2 linked regions of the Canis lupus familiaris genome follow. Each later gene encodes a partner of the first gene's protein in a complex. Links are inferred from orthologs where the notes say so. Each region holds a gene or a part of one and is shown on either strand. Other genes may lie near its edges. The genes, in order: EXOSC8 and EXOSC5.

Region 1 (7,529 bases):
TGTGGGTCTCCATCTCACGACCCCGAGATCATGACCTGAGCTGAAACCAAGTCAGATGCTTAACCCACAGAGACACCCAGGCATCTCTGCCAGTACTTTTTGATTTATACTCAAAGCCATGAAACAGTGATACGTATTTGCTGTGTTCATCTCTTCAGCACTCAGTCATCAGTCCACTGTACTATGGTCCATACCCTTTGCTTTTCCACATTGCTTTTCTATATTATCTCTCTTCATCAACAGCACCCTCTTTATTTTTTATTTTATTTTATTTTGATGTAGGTTCCACACCCAGTGTGGAGCCCAACATGGGGCTTGAACTCACAACCCTGAGATCAAGACCTGAACTGAGATCAAGAGCTGGATGCTTAACCAACTGAGCGACCCAGGCGTCCTACCCGCCCCCCCCCCCCCTTTTTTTTAAGTAGGCCCCATGCTCAATGTGGGGCTTAAACTCACACTCTAAGATCAAGAGTCACATGCTCTGCTGACTGAGGCAGCCAGGCACCCAATAACTTTCTCCTTTGGACCCTAATTTCCATAGGGAATGTGACATTATTCTCATCTGGTGTTTGCATTCCTGACAGACCAGCTTCTATTTTTTTCTAGCAGCTCAGTAGCTATAGGTCTAAGAACGCAAGAATGTGAGAGGATGATACTCTAAGACACTTGTTACCTTCCATAGGTAAATCTGGATGGAAGTATGCTAAAGGACATATCTGATACCCAGTGCCAGATATGAAGGCATCCTATATTTGCATATTACTTTAGAAACTGTAAGGCAAGGTGGAGCATAAAGAAAAAAAATTGTGTTTAGGAAAAAGGAACCAAATATTGATAGGCAAAGAAGGTTCCCAGTGGCCATGGTGAATTGTTGTGCATGTTTTCTCCTGACTTGGTGATCTTCAAAGCTTCCCTGGTCTTAAGGAGTGAGGAAACAGCAGGTATATTTTCCAGCTTTCCATTGATGAAATTTCTGTTTTGGCTACTCATGCTGTAAAGTAGAGGGTGCTGACAACAGCTTTAGCATTCTCTGATGAGTTGAAGTAAGACTTAACAACTGCAAATTATTCTATTTCTTTTCTACCTAGTAGCAATCCTAAAAGCAAGTTTACTTACTTTTGAAGTCTGGTCTTTGCTGCCATCATCAACTACTATCACCTCATAAGTGAACGTAGGATCTTGCTTCTGCAAGAAACAAAAATAAAACACCACAATTTGGCATAAGTGGCATCAAGAATTCTGATAAAATTGTAAGGAGTTTAAATAACAATTGTTTTAGTGTGATGCATATTAACATGAATATAAATAAGTATGCAAACCACATAAAATAAAAAGGCCAACAACTAAAAGGAGGAGAGTGGTGGGACAGGAGGAGAGGGCAAACACCGACTCTTGCTCCCCCCTTGACTGCCTACCCACACCGAATCTGTGGAGTAGCCAGGTGCTTGTGGTGCTGAGCACTTATGAGAGAGGATACAAATATGTATGAGAAAAAAAAGCCCATGAGGTTAGAATGTGCAATTCTAATCTGGCCACACTATTTCTAACTTATGATATTGGATGAGTTAGAGTTTTAGCCTGTTTTCTCATTTAAAAACCCCCGCCAGACCAAAAAAAAAAAAAAAAAAAAAAAAAAACGGACCAGCCACAAAGCTCATTTTGTTTCCTTAAACTCTCCAAGAAGATTCCAGCAGCAGCTGATGATACAAAACAAGGACACATACTATTTTTCTTCTATTTATGCAGGGAAAGTAGAGAAAATAAATGAGCGGAACTCCTCTGAATAATAAAGAAAAACAATTTCACTCTAAGTCTTTTTCAAATAAATGTTTTAAAAAGTCACTAAAGTAAAAACAGCATCGTGTTGCCACACAGTCTGCAGACATACTTAATTTTAAATATATCATCAGGCAAGAGCATACAAAGTGGTTGGGAGGGTACATAAGAAATTTCTGCTTTCCGTTTGTTCTGGGTTCACCCACCTGCGTGCGTCTGGAGGTAGCGTGTCATGTGCTGGGCTTGCATGCTAACCCGTGATGGAAGGGGACAAGCTGAGCACAGGAGGCCCTGGTGACCTCGACGGCTTGGGCATGGCTGGCACTGCCTCTCTCAACAGATCTAGCCTGGGATCTCTAAATTGGTGATTTAGTCTAGTTTTAACTAGGGACATCATATTGAAAGAGAAATATGGTACCTGTCTCTTTTCCAGATAGCCCAAAGCTTCATCCATCATTACAGGCACTTAAAGAAAAAAAAATACATCTCTGAAAAATTGTTTTCGAAAATGATTTGCCAAGCCCCCACTCAGTTTACATATGGAAAAAGTCTGAATAGTCTAACAGAGCCCTCTCGGACCTCTTCCAGTGGCCCTTCCCAACTAGAAGGCCTGTTTTCTGTCCACAACTAGCTTAATGTCTCTCTAGAACACTTCAGTCCTATGACTTCATGATGCTGACCGTATTCTTTATAGCTGGCATTTGTTTCCACTCTCATGAACTACAACTACCAACTATGCACTCATCAGAGCCCACATCTACTAATGTTCTCACAAAGATAGTAAAGTTCATACTTTAAATTTCCTTTTCTTCCCAATGGCCCCATATCCCAAAAATGAAATTGGGCTTACACCGTTTTTCTTCATTGTATGAAGGCACAACAACGGAGAGCTGTTTGGTAGGCGAGTCCCATACGCTGGGCAAAGTTTCCTTCTGTCCTTTGGCATTTAAGAAGAACTTCTCCTCTTCATGTTGATGGAGATGTGGCATTTTTGTAGCAGTTATAAATGCAACAAAGGAAATCTAAAAGTAGGTATGTTAACAAGAAACTATATTATGTAAGATTACATCATTTATGTGATTTTTATTGTTGTTGTTAAATGTTCACTCTCAGTTTTTAGTCCATTAAGAATGGTCTGGAGGTGACACCAAATTCAAATCCCTTACTTATGAACTAATAATTGTCCTTCTTCCATTGGTAGGAACTAATGCCTTAGGAGCTGTGTCTTCCCACCTGTCATCCCTAGGCCTCTGTCATCCCAGATTTAATAGGGAATAGTCACCAGAGAAGTGCAATCCATTTTAAGATGCCCTGAATCTCCAACCCCTGGCTAATGATGACAACATTCATTTAGCATTGTTTTAAAGATCGCACAACATAAAACATTGAATACAATACCCCCAAATTATAAGTCCTCTATAAATGTTAGCTTTTTAAAAAATTATTTTATTTTCATTTATTCATGAGACAAAGAGAAAGGCAGAGAGACATAAGCAGAGGGAGAAGCTGCCTCCCTGCGGGAAGCCCAATGTGGGACTCGATCCCAGGACCCCGAGATCACGACCTGAGCCCAAGACAGATGCTCAACTGCTGAACCACCCAGGTGCCCTAAATAGTAGCTCTTATAATCACAAGCTGGTAGGATCAAATACTTCCAGTTCATCCTCAAAATGCACCCATTTAATTCTATAAAACAGATAGATCAAATAAACAGAGTCAATTTAGGATTCTGTCAAAACTCTGCCCCCACCAAAAACCTGAGAAAACCTTGAAATCTCCATCTACCCCTAACGGAGAGAGAGGACTCCTTTCTGACCCCGACACAAATCACCGAAGAAGTCAGGACACGTTGCTTTTTCTCTATAAGTTATTTCTAAACTGTGAAGTGTGCAAACCCGGCAAGGCGGAAGAACGGCCTTCCCAGCAGTGCTGTCAGGGGGGCTAATCTGGGTGTCAAGGAAGCTGGAACCTCTCCACGTACTAACTGGATGGCAGGCTCGTTCCAAATTATAAGGGAGAAAGCTCACTTGGCAAACCATTACTAATGAATCAGCAAGTGCTTACAATGTTTGTTTCCAGAGTGATGGCAAAGAAAATCCGAGTCTCAATTCTACTGTGCCCTCCTTTAGAGGCAGCGAATTTAGGGTGTTTAATCCCGGGTCATAGGGACTGCCAGACAACGGTAACAGCAGGCCTGCGTGCCTCGGCCTTACTGTGTCCCTCCTGGGTCTTCTTGATCCACTGATTCACCCCAATCTCTAGCAGATGGCTCTCGTCAAAGCTGTCACCACCTTCTAGTTGCTTCCCCGCATCAGGAGGGTCAGTCCAGGGAGCGCAAACCTCCTGGGGGGGCTCGAGACCTTCCCGGGTGCAGCCGGAACTGCACAGGCTGCAGATGCAGGAGGAAGGGGTGGAGAGGTCGGGACTGACAGGGCAGAGGTCGGGGGCGGCGGGGCCGGTGGAGGCTGACGGGGGCGCACGTCCCCCGGGGAACCAACGTTACAAGGGCCTGGCCGCAGAGGGAGGTAACGCTCCAAAATAAAGACAAAGAAGGGAAGAAAGGGGCTGTGAAGTTCTAGGAGAGGAAATCCTGGTCAAGTTTCGGGGGAGAGCGTGGGGGGAAAGGGACGCGTCGAAGCGTGCGGGGCAGAGGACAGGCTGCGTGGCGGCCGAGTCTCTGAGAGGACGGAGCCCAGGCCCGCGTCGGTCCCCAGCCCTCTGCTCACCAGCGTCAGGGCGGCGGCCGCCAGCGCCACGCCGAGCACAGCCAGCTGCAGCAGGAGCGCAATCATCGTCCATACCCGGCTGCCGCGCGCCCTCCCCAGCGCCTACACACACGCGGAAGCGCCGCCGCGCAGCTCCGCCTCCCGCCGGCAGAGCGGCCGAGCCCGCCCGCCGCCCGCCGCCCACAGCGCCCCTCGCGGCCAGGCGGCGCACACGCCGTCCCTGGCGGCCAGGCTCGCGCGCAGAGGCGGGCGCCGGGTTCCCCGCAGGGCTGACAGAACCCGCAGGCACACACAGGATTCCACCCAGTCGGAATTTCAGGTAGGCAGTGAGCGGCTTTTCGACAGCCGTCTTAAGACAGCACTCACGCACCGTGCAATCCACCCATTAAAAAGGTTTTATTGTATTCCATGAGTCTTTAAAAACGGAGACAGCATAAAATTTGCCATTTTAACCATTTTAAGGGTACGATACGGTGGTATTGGTTACATTCACAATTTCCTGCACCCATTATCTATTTCTAAAACATTCTTCGCTCCCAGCCGCCCCCGCCCCCCGCCCCGTAACAACTAATAACATGTACTATTTGGGGTATACTCATAGTGGGGAAAAATTAGCTTGTGTATCTGACATTAAAAATTAATTGGATGTTCTGTATTCCGTCTGGCAAACCTACCTAGGAGGGAGGTGACGGCTTTGAGAACAAACGCAGCCCACGGCACAAGCTGCTCCTCAGGAGCCCCTCCGGGGGCCCGCAGAGTGTACCGCGGGGCGATCACCAGCGCGCACAGAGTTTACGTGATTGCTCAGCAACTGGAGCTCCAGGGAGCCCTTCCCTTGGGGTGAGGCACGCCCAGGGCCCAGCCTGAGACAGAGGCGGGAAAGGACGCAGGAGCTCTGGAATAATGCCCCACACTTAATACTCACTCAATTCCTGGCAATAAGGTCGGCTTTCCCTTAAACTCCTGAGCTAGCATACCGTTTTTCTAAAGAGACACACCCGTCTCTTTCCCAATAGCAGATTCGACAAAACGCGTCCGAGGCCAAGAAGCCTAGAGGCGCGCTGGGCTCCTCCGAGCGGAGGCGGAACGAGAACCCCCTCGCGGCCACCAGCCCTCGGCCTCTGCAGCAGCGGACGAAGGGCGCAGGCGCGTCTGTCGAAAGTTTGGAGGCGGGGTAGGCGCGCGGCCCGGGGGCGCGGCCTCGCCTGGCGCAGGCGCACGCGCGCGGGCGGGAAGATGGCGGCCGGGTTCAAGTGAGTGTGGGCGGCCGGCGGGCGCGTGTTTGTACTCTGGCGGTTGGAGGCTCCCTTTAACCCTTCGCTGGGATTTTTTTTCACCTGGAGGCCACCCTGCCAGATTCCGGTTTGTTTCCGTCACGGCAGTAGGCGACGGGCAGAAGGACCTGGAGGTGGTCGTGGCGAAAGGAACGGGGGCTTTTTCTCCGCAGTCCGACGGAAGATGGAAGGGACCGTGTGCGGAGCTCGGGGCCGAGGCGAGCGCCGCTGGCGTGTGTGGCGGCCGTGCGGCCCCAGGAGCCCGCGTCGTAGCCTTCTCATAGGTGTTCTGGCAGAACCACGTGCCGCTCTGTTCTCCCTCTCCCTGACGTCCTTCTAAAAGGATTGTGCCTTGTTGGGAAGGTTTTACTTGAGCCTTTTTTTGGTGTCACTCTGGGGAAGCCCGTAAATTTTTGTCCTCACAAATTTTTCATTGGGTAAACTACATAAGATTCCACAGGAAGACCGTCGTATTGACGCAGTTATCTATTTGCAGAAACTCTCGAGTTATTGATACAGTGATATATATGTGCTCCTTTAAAAATTAGCATTCTTAAACAAGCTCTAGCTAGTGGGGAGTCTAGGAACTCCTGAATTCCAGAGTAACGCGTCTGCACGTGACCTTCGACAACTATAAAGTAAAAACGAAAACATTTAACCTCTGTGGTTGTTAAGTTGCAGGTACTAATATAAAGGCTTCTTTCCTTGGTCATAATTAAAGAATATGCTAAGTTTCAGTTACAGGACACTGAAAATAAAGATGTAATTTTTCCTCATGTTGAGATAATCCCTGCTTCAGAGCGAAAGTGACATCATTATTTTGTAATAATTGGATTAATTCTTCCAAAGATGTCCAAAGGCTCGGGCTCCAGCCTGTGTTTGTTTAAGGTAGCGTTAAGGACAGCAGTTGAGTCTGATTACGACTGCAAGAGCACCTTTTAATAGTTGTATGGGGCAGCATAAACATCAGAATTCATGAAAGGAAGTTACAAATTGGGGAAATTTATGCTGCATCCTCACACTCCTAAGATCTTTGCCAGTTTCTGGATTTATGTTAAGATGTACTAACTTACCTCAGATACGTTTTTAACATGTTTCAGGACTGTGGAACCTCTGGAGTATTACAGGAGATTTTTGGTGAGTAAAGGTTATGTGTATTGTACCTTTTGATAACAGTATCATGTGCATCTTTTCAAATTATGTGAATTAACGAGGTTTAATGTGTTTTTCTCTGGTGTGTGTAAAGTATAAATGTAATCCATTTTCATGTAAATGTCTATTTAGAAAGAGAACTGCCGTCCTGATGGAAGAGAACTTGGTGAATTCAGAACCACAACTGTCAACATAGGTAAGGATATTTTGAGTTCTAAAATAGGTTATTGAAGTTGCTTCAGAATTTTTCTGTTTTTAAAGCTTTTATTTATTCATGAGACATAGAGAGGCAGGCAGTTGACATAGGCAGAGAGAGACGCCGGCTCCCTGCTTGGGAGCCCACCTCAGAACTCCATCCCAGAACCTCAGGATCACGCCCTGAGCCAAAGGCAGACGCTCAACTACTAAGCCAACCAGGCATCCCTCTTTTTTTTTTTTTTAAATAGAAGTATTCTTTTTGGTGGTTTTTAAAACTCACTGTTGTGTCAATTGTGTCAATGTTCTTCTTTTAAATTTTGAAGTAACAGTAGTGTTTTATCCCTTCTTTCTTCAAAGCCTCCAAGATACGTTTTTTTTTATGTCTTATTAAACTTTCTGT
Region 2 (7,508 bases), on another chromosome or scaffold:
AACTGCATCATCCAATATGGCAGCCACCAGCTACTTGTGGCTATTTAAACTCATTAAAATTTTAAAAAATGAAAATGTCAGTTCCTGGGCCATATTAATCACATTCTGAGAGCTCAGTCGCCATGTGTAGTTAAGTGGCTACTGTACTGGACAGCACATATCCAAAACTTCATCATCGTCGCAAAATGTTCCAGTGGATAGATCCTGGTCCATAATCAACCCCTAAATTGATTAGGGATGCCTGGGTGGCTCAGTGGTTGACCCCCTGCCTTGGGCTCAAGTCATAATCCCTGGGTCCTGGAATGGAGCCCCAAATCAGGCTCCCTGCTCAGTGGGAAGTCTGCTTCTCCCTCTCCCTCTGCCCTCAACCCCACTCATGTGCACGTGTGTTCTCTCATTCTCTCTCATATAAATAAATAAAAATTTAAAATACTTATTTAAAATCTTCTTTGAAAAAAAATAAAATAAAATAAAAATAAAATCTTCTTTGACTAAATGCCATTACTCCTTCCCTTCACTCAAAAGTCTCCTTTTTAATCTGAAAAAAGTACTGAAAAAAGTAGGAGAGGGGTGCCTGGATGGCTCTGTTGGTAGAGCATAAGACTCTAGATCTCAGGGTTGTGAGTTCGAGCCCCATGTTGGGTGTACAGATTACTTACTGACTAAATAAATAAATAACATTTTACGGTGCCCAGGTGGCTCAGTCAGTTGAGCATTTTGCCTTTGGCTCAAGTCATGATCCCAGAGTCCTGGGATCCAGTCCCACATCACCTCTGGCTTGCTGCTCAGCAGGGAGCCTGCTTCTTCCTCTGCCCCTCACCCACCTGTGCTCTCACTCTCTCAAATAAATAAATAAATAAATAAATAAATAAATAAATAAATAAATGAATGAATAAATAAATCTTTTTAAAAAGTAAGTGGGGGGACGCCTGGGTGGCTCAGCAGTTGAGCATCTGCCTTTGGCTCAGGGCATGATGCCGGAAACCCGGGATCGAGTCCCACATCGGGTTCCCTGCATGGAGCCTGCTTCTCCCTCTGCCTGTGTCTCTCATGAATAAATAAATAAAATCTTTTTCAAAAAATAAGTGGGAAAAATAAAAGTGGGGAAGAAAAAAAAAAAAACAAAGACTATAAAAATATATAAATTTAGGGCAGCCCCGGTGGCGCAGCGGTTTAGCGCCGCCTGCAGCCCAGGGCATGATCCTGGAGATCCTGGATCAAGTCCCACGTCAGGCTCTCTGCATGGAGCCTGCTTCTCCCTCTGCCTGTGTCTCTGCCTCTCATTCTCTCTCTGTGTTTCTATGAATAAATAAAACCTTTTAAAAATTTTTGTTTAATATATAAATTTAAAATAAAATATAATAAAAGGTAGATATCTGAAAGACCCCCTCCAAAACCCCTATCCCATCACCCACCAAAAAGAGGGGAGTCAAGAGGGAAAAGTTATAGGGAGAGGGAACCAGGAAGGAAACATTTAATCAGCCTCAAATGACCTTTACCTACTTTCTGCCCTAGTCCTGCCCACCTCCTCCCCACAGGCCCAGCCAATGGACTAAGAAGGACTGGGATTGGCCAGGCAGGATCTGATTATTCCAAAAAAAGTGACAAAGAACCGCCTAAAGGCACCAGGCTACCCCACCCCCAGCCTGCTCCAGGAACCCTCCCATAATCACCTGCTTTGAGGACTCCTTTTCCTACCTATTCTCCCTCCTCTCAAACCTGGCCCATCCTCTCTCCCCAACTCCTTCCCTGCTCTTCTCCCTAAAGTGTCTTTCCCATAGATTCTATCTTCCTTCCCTAATGAATTAGGGAATCAGAGGGTCAGACCCAACCCCACAAAATCTTGGCGCTTTTCCCTCCAAGGGCCCTCACCTGTTCAGGTCCGACCAAGGTCACCTCCTTTCTTCTCCTGATCTCCAAGGTCAGTTTCTCTCCCTTCCCTCCACCCCCACTTTCAACAACAGTGACCAACATTCCTATTGCTTGTATCAAATACCAGGTCCAGTTCTCAGCACATTACATACTTGATTTTTACCACAACCCTACGAGGTGGTCAGTTAGCATTATAGAAAGGGGAACGCGCCCCTCTGTTGAGGTCCGGAGGGGCAGTCCTCTGTCCAGCATGTGGGGGACAGGAACCCGCCTTCCCAAACACTACTCTCTGACCTGGGAAATTTCAGTTCATGGTTCCGCAGCCCAAGGCCTCTCTCCCACTGAACGAGCTTCTAAGTTAGACTTCCGCTGTGTGAACTTACAGTTTGCAGCATCAACCCAAGGGAATTCTGACACTTTTGATAAGAATTGAGGCATCTCTCAAGTGTTACCCAGAAATGTGGGTGGGATGACCAGGTGGCTCAGTGGTTGAGCGTCTGCCTTCCGCCCAGGTCCTGATCCTGGGGTCCTGGGATCGAGTCCCCCATCAGGCTCCCTGCAGGGAGCCTGCTTCTCCCTCAGCCTCTCTCTGGGTCTCATGAATAAATAAAATCTCAAAAAAAAAAAAAAAAAAAAAAAGAACAATAGTAAAACAAACGCAGCGCACTATAAAAGCCCGCGTCGGAGAAGCTGATCTCTCTTTTCTCCTTCCTGAGGGGGAGCCACACCCGGAAGCCTCAGCCTCGGGCAGTCGCAGTCTCCAACGCCTGCGGGGCAATGTCTCGCCGTCCCACCGTGTCCCTCCACGCGGCCTCCCGTGGGCATGAGTGGCAACTAAAGCGGAACCCCTTCTCTCTCTCCAAGTTGTCTCCCTCTCTCCGGGCCCACAGAGGAGGCTGCCTCACTTCTCCTCTCCTGAGGGAGTGGAAGTTCTTCCCGAATGTCCTCACGGAGCAGCTCTCTCAGCCCCGGTCCCCTCTGTGACAGCCCTTCGCTCACTCCCTGCACGAACCCCACGTCGGAAGACGGCGTTGACATCCCTATTCTCCCTCGGGAAAAACTCCCCAGGTACTCACAGATCTAGCCAGCCCCCGAGCCCAAGGCCGGCGCAGGAGCAGGAGACCAGCCTGGCCCAAACCTCGACTCGAGCCCCAGACCCTCGCTGCCGCCGCCGCCACCGCCATCTTGGCTCACAACCCCTCAGAGCTCCGCCCCTCTCCTCGGCTAGACTGGGGGCTGCCCCTTCAGGAGCCTGACTCAAATGCTAGCACCGCCCTGCCAAGAAACCACCAGCGACCCACCCTGCAGTCTCCAGGGCACGGGTACGGGAGGAACAAACAATCTAGCTTGCCAAAATTACTCTCATCACCTCATCTTAGTTGTTTCTGTAACAGGCAAAGGAGAGGACAACCTGACCAGAGCCTTAGGGCTTTAGGGCGCGGGGGCTTCGGGTAGGACGAGTCCATGCCAAGGCCCGCCCTCTCTTCGCTACTCTCCAATGGGCTTGCGAGGCGGGAGTGGGAGGGGCCAGATTGTTAGTAAACGCGGAGCCACGTGCGGGAACGGGTCCTGGCGCCCCGGACCTGCGCGTGCGCACTGGGCACGCAGGCTGGACGCCCGCGCGCGCTCCCGTGCGGAAGCGAGGTTCCGCAGCGGCACGTGGGGTCTGGGGCGATGGAGGGGGCGCTGCCGGCGGACGCCAAGACCTGCGCGGAGTCTGGAACAGAGTCCGGCCCTCGGGGCCCGGGCTGCAGCCTCCGGCACTTTGCTTGTGAGCAGAACCTGCTGTCCCGGCCGGATGGCTCTGCCTCTTTCCTGCAAGGTAAGGACTTACCCTAGGCAAATACTGCCTGTGCCACGTTCGCCACGTTGTATTTGTTTCGGAAGGTTACAGGTTACCGTGCAGAGGAGTGCCACTAGCTGGTAAGTGTCCCTCCTGCACGGGTGGTGCAGTTCTTGCCCGGGAGGATACTCCCGGATATGCCGGAGTAACGTATCCTGCGCTCCCGGCTAGAAGGGAGACGGTATCGCCACCGTGGTAAATACTCCGAGGAGAGAGGCGCTCAGCAGAGTAAATATCTCCCTTGATTAAATTCGTCTCCCGCCTCCCCCGCGGACACCCCGGGTCCATGCACGCCAGGCTGCGGCAAACCTGCCCTTGCGCGTAAATAGACCCGCAAATCAACACTACCGGCTTCATTACTCTCTGGACTGCGGGCATGTCTTTTTGTCCAGGTAAATACTTTTCAGAGTATTTGAGAGTGATTGTGCGGTATATATCCCTTTGACAGCAATACACATCTCTCCATACGTGTAAATATCCCTAGGTTTGGGGCAGGCTTTCCCTATTGGGTAAAATATCTCCTTCCCGTGACCAAATGCATCTCAGCTCCCTGCCCCGGGTGAATATTCCTCTGAAGATAGCCTAAGAATCACCCCCATAAATGCTTCAGCCTCCTCACTAGGGGCATTACCTTCTACCCAGGTACAAAACCTGTTTTCATTCATTCCTTCATTGAACACGTGTATTCGCATTAAGCACTGTCCTGGGTCCTGGGAATACGTGGATAAAATACATTTTATTTTATTTTATATTAATTTTTACTTATTTATGATAGTCACACAGAGAGAGAGAGAGAGAGGCAGAGACACAGGCAGAGGGAGAAGCAGGCTCCATGCACTGGGAGCCAGACGTGGGATTCGATCCCGGGTCTCCAGGATCGCGCCCTGGGCCAAAGGCAGGTGCCAAACCACTGCGCCACCCAGGGATCCCAATAAAATACATTTTAAAGGGATGCCTGGGTGGCTCCACGGTTTGGCTCCTGCCTCCGGCTCCCTGCATGGAGCCTGCTTCTCTGTCTGCCTCTCTCTCTCTCTCTCTGTCTCTCTCTCTGTCTTTCATGAATAAATAAATAAATCTTAAAAAAAATTTTTTTTTAAATCCCTGACTTAACAGTTTATGTTCTAGTCGAGGAGACAGACAAAAGATAAGTAAAATATGTAGGAAGGGGATCCCTGGGTGGTTCGGTGGTTTGGCGCCTGCCTTTGGCCCAGGGTGCAATCTTGGAGTCCCGGGATCGAGTCCCGCGTCAGGCTCTCACATGGAGCCTGCTTCTCCCTCTGCCTGTGTCTCTGCCTCTCTCTCTCTCTCTCTCTCTCTGTCTATCATGAATAAATAAATAAATAAATAAATCTTTAAAAAAAAAATATGTAGGAGGGCAGCCTGGGTGGCTCAGCGATTTAGCGCCGCCTTCAGCCCAGGGCGTGATCCTCAAGACCAAGGATCAGGTCCCTCATCGGGCTCCCTGCATGGAGCCTGCTTCTCCCTCTGCCTGTGTCTCTGTCTCTCTCTCTCTCTCTCTCTGTGTCTCTCATGAATAAATAAATAAAATCTTTAAAAAAAAATATGTCGGAAGATGCCTATGGAGAAAAATTATAGTAGGGAAAGGAAATAGGGTGTGCCAGAGAGGGTTGCGATCTTAACCGGATAGTCAGGAAAGGCCTTGATGAGATGGTAACATTTGAATAAAGACCTAAAGGTAAGGGAGCAAACCTTGAAGATAAGCAGGAGGAAAAGCATACCTAGGATGAAGAACTGCAGGGGCAGAGGCCCTGAGGCAAGGATTTGTCTGGTGTGTTTGAGGAATAGTCTGTAGACTGTGTGGCCAGAGCAGTGAGGAGGCTGGGGAGAGCTAAGGAGGATTGCTTGTCATGTGATGCATAATGAATGAGCTGGGGGCCACTGCTTCCAAGTTTTGCTCAGAGGGTTGACATGATCTGGATATATTTTAACAGAATCTCTCTGCTGCAGTGTTGACTGTATAGATATGAGAAAGAAGGGGAGATGCGGTGGCTCAGACCAGAGTGGAAGCAGTGGAGGTGGTGAGATTCTGGGTGTATGTATGTTGAAAGTAAAACACAAAACTTGCAGATGGTTCAGTGTTGGAGTGTGAGAAGGAGAGGGATAACACCAAGATTTTTTTTCCAAATCAGCTGTACTGGGAGATAAGGAGTTCAATTTGGAACATTAAGTTTGCAGTGCCTGGTGGACATCACAGTGACTATATGGACAGGGCAATAGGATATAGAAGTCTGCATTTGGGAGGAGAGACCCAGGGGCGCCTGGGTGGCTCAGTCAGTTAAGCATCTGCCTTCAGCTCAGGTCATGATCTCAGGGTCTAGGATCCCACCCAGCATCAGGCTCCCTGCTCAGTGGGGAGCCTGCTTCTCCCTCTCCCTCTGCCTGCTGCTCCCCCCTTGTGCGCGCTCTCTCTCTCTCTCTCTGTGTCAAATAAGTAAATAAAATCTTAAAAAGAGAGAGACTCAACCTAAATATATAATTTGGAATTCTCTGGCTATAGATGGTGTTTCACACTATTGATTGGATGAAATAAAGAGAACAAGTGTAGGTGGAAAGAGAAGAGGTCACAGACTAAATCCAGGGTTGTCTAACCTGTGAGGAGCTAGGAAAAGACCAGAGAAAAGCAGCCAATAAGGTGGGAGGAAAACCCAGAGAGGACACTGACCTCAGAGGGGCTCAGAGAAGTGTTTGAGATGTAAGGGCCCACCAGCTGCATCCGTCCTCCAGACCTGTCGGTGGACAGTCCGGACCTATGTCATCTGTGATGCTGTCAAGAGCTGTTTGGTGGAGTGGTGGGGTCAGGGAGGAGAAGAAGACAGCAAGTCAGACTTGTCTTTGAGAGCTTTGCTGGAAGAGGATCAGATAAATGGGGCAGGAGTTGAAGATGGATGTGGATCCAAAGAATATAGAATTCCTTGAATTGCTCCCGAAAATTGCTGGGGCCATGTCCCTGAGAAGATGAGAGGGAGGATCTCCTAGGTTCATGGGGGCCACAGGCAGCTCATCCAGAAAAGAATGAAGAGCAACGTGTGGATCTCGTCCTGTGTGGTTAAGTTCCCCTCTGAGGGCAGATTCTCCTGGAGCCAAGAGAATCCCTCAGCTCTGGTGCAGCTCCTTCTCCCCAACCCAGGAAACATGCCCTGACCCTGGGGACCTTCCCAGGCCCTCCTGGAGACTTTGCTCTTCTGCTAAAATCATATGCCTGGAGTTTCTTAGACTTCAGAAACACTGAGGAGGGTTAACGCCTTCCACGTTCTAAAACTCCCAAACTCTGGGACCCCTGGCAGACCCTGGAAAGTACGTCCCACCCGCCTTTGGCCTCCAAATCTCTGATGGGGTTGTTAAAAAGGCAGGGTCCCAGAATCCACCGCACACCTGCTAAGGCTGGCCCCTCTCCATCTGTAACCGCTGCAGAGATTCTGTTTGCAGTGTTTCGAAGCTGTGCTCAAGCGCTGTTTTTCCCACTGCAGACTGTGGGCCCAGCTGCACGTCAGAATGACCCGTGGGAGCTCTTATGCTCCCAGTGCCCATGCCCCACCCGGCAGCTGAATTAGGATCTCTGGGGGAGGGGGCTGGACGTCTTTTCAAGTGCCCCGGTGATTCTGAGCGTGCAGCCAGGGTTCAGGACCACTGCTGCGGTTGGCAGTACTTTTTAACTGGAATAGAGTAGGGGCGCTTGACGGACTCTGTCCAAGGAGCGTCCGACTCTCGATCCCAGGGCTGTGAGTTTGAGCCCCATGTAAAAATAAAATCAAAAAAGTAAATAAGTTGGGAC

The links.
Region 2: EXOSC8 (region 1) and EXOSC5 share a complex: the UniProt entries of both Homo sapiens proteins name them as parts of the RNA exosome core complex. The link is inferred for Canis lupus familiaris from reciprocal best matches to the Homo sapiens genes EXOSC8 and EXOSC5.

What each region holds. Positions count from the first base shown.
Region 1 is NC_049246.1:3,767,914-3,775,442, reverse strand, and holds the start of EXOSC8 (exosome complex component RRP43), read left to right. Parts: upstream 1-2,785; coding exon 2,786-2,811; intron 2,812-3,843; exon of another isoform or gene 3,844-4,367; intron 4,368-4,505; coding exon of another isoform or gene 4,506-4,578; exon of another isoform or gene 4,579-4,646; intron 4,647-5,179; exon of another isoform or gene 5,180-5,633; intron 5,634-5,698; exon of another isoform or gene 5,699-5,741; coding exon of another isoform or gene 5,742-5,758; intron 5,759-6,879; coding exon 6,880-6,916; intron 6,917-7,063; coding exon 7,064-7,127; intron 7,128-7,529. Other genes in the region: ALG5 (dolichyl-phosphate beta-glucosyltransferase), read right to left, coding at 1,120-1,188, 2,198-2,244, 2,630-2,801, 4,506-4,571. UniProt on the Homo sapiens protein: Non-catalytic component of the RNA exosome complex which has 3'->5' exoribonuclease activity and participates in a multitude of cellular RNA processing and degradation events.
Region 2 is NC_049222.1:113,381,057-113,388,564, forward strand, and holds the start of EXOSC5 (exosome complex component RRP46), read left to right. Parts: upstream 1-3,455; 5' UTR 3,456-3,546; coding exon 3,547-3,694; intron 3,695-7,508. Other genes in the region: BCKDHA (2-oxoisovalerate dehydrogenase subunit alpha, mitochondrial), read right to left, coding at 2,949-3,056. UniProt on the Homo sapiens protein: Non-catalytic component of the RNA exosome complex which has 3'->5' exoribonuclease activity and participates in a multitude of cellular RNA processing and degradation events.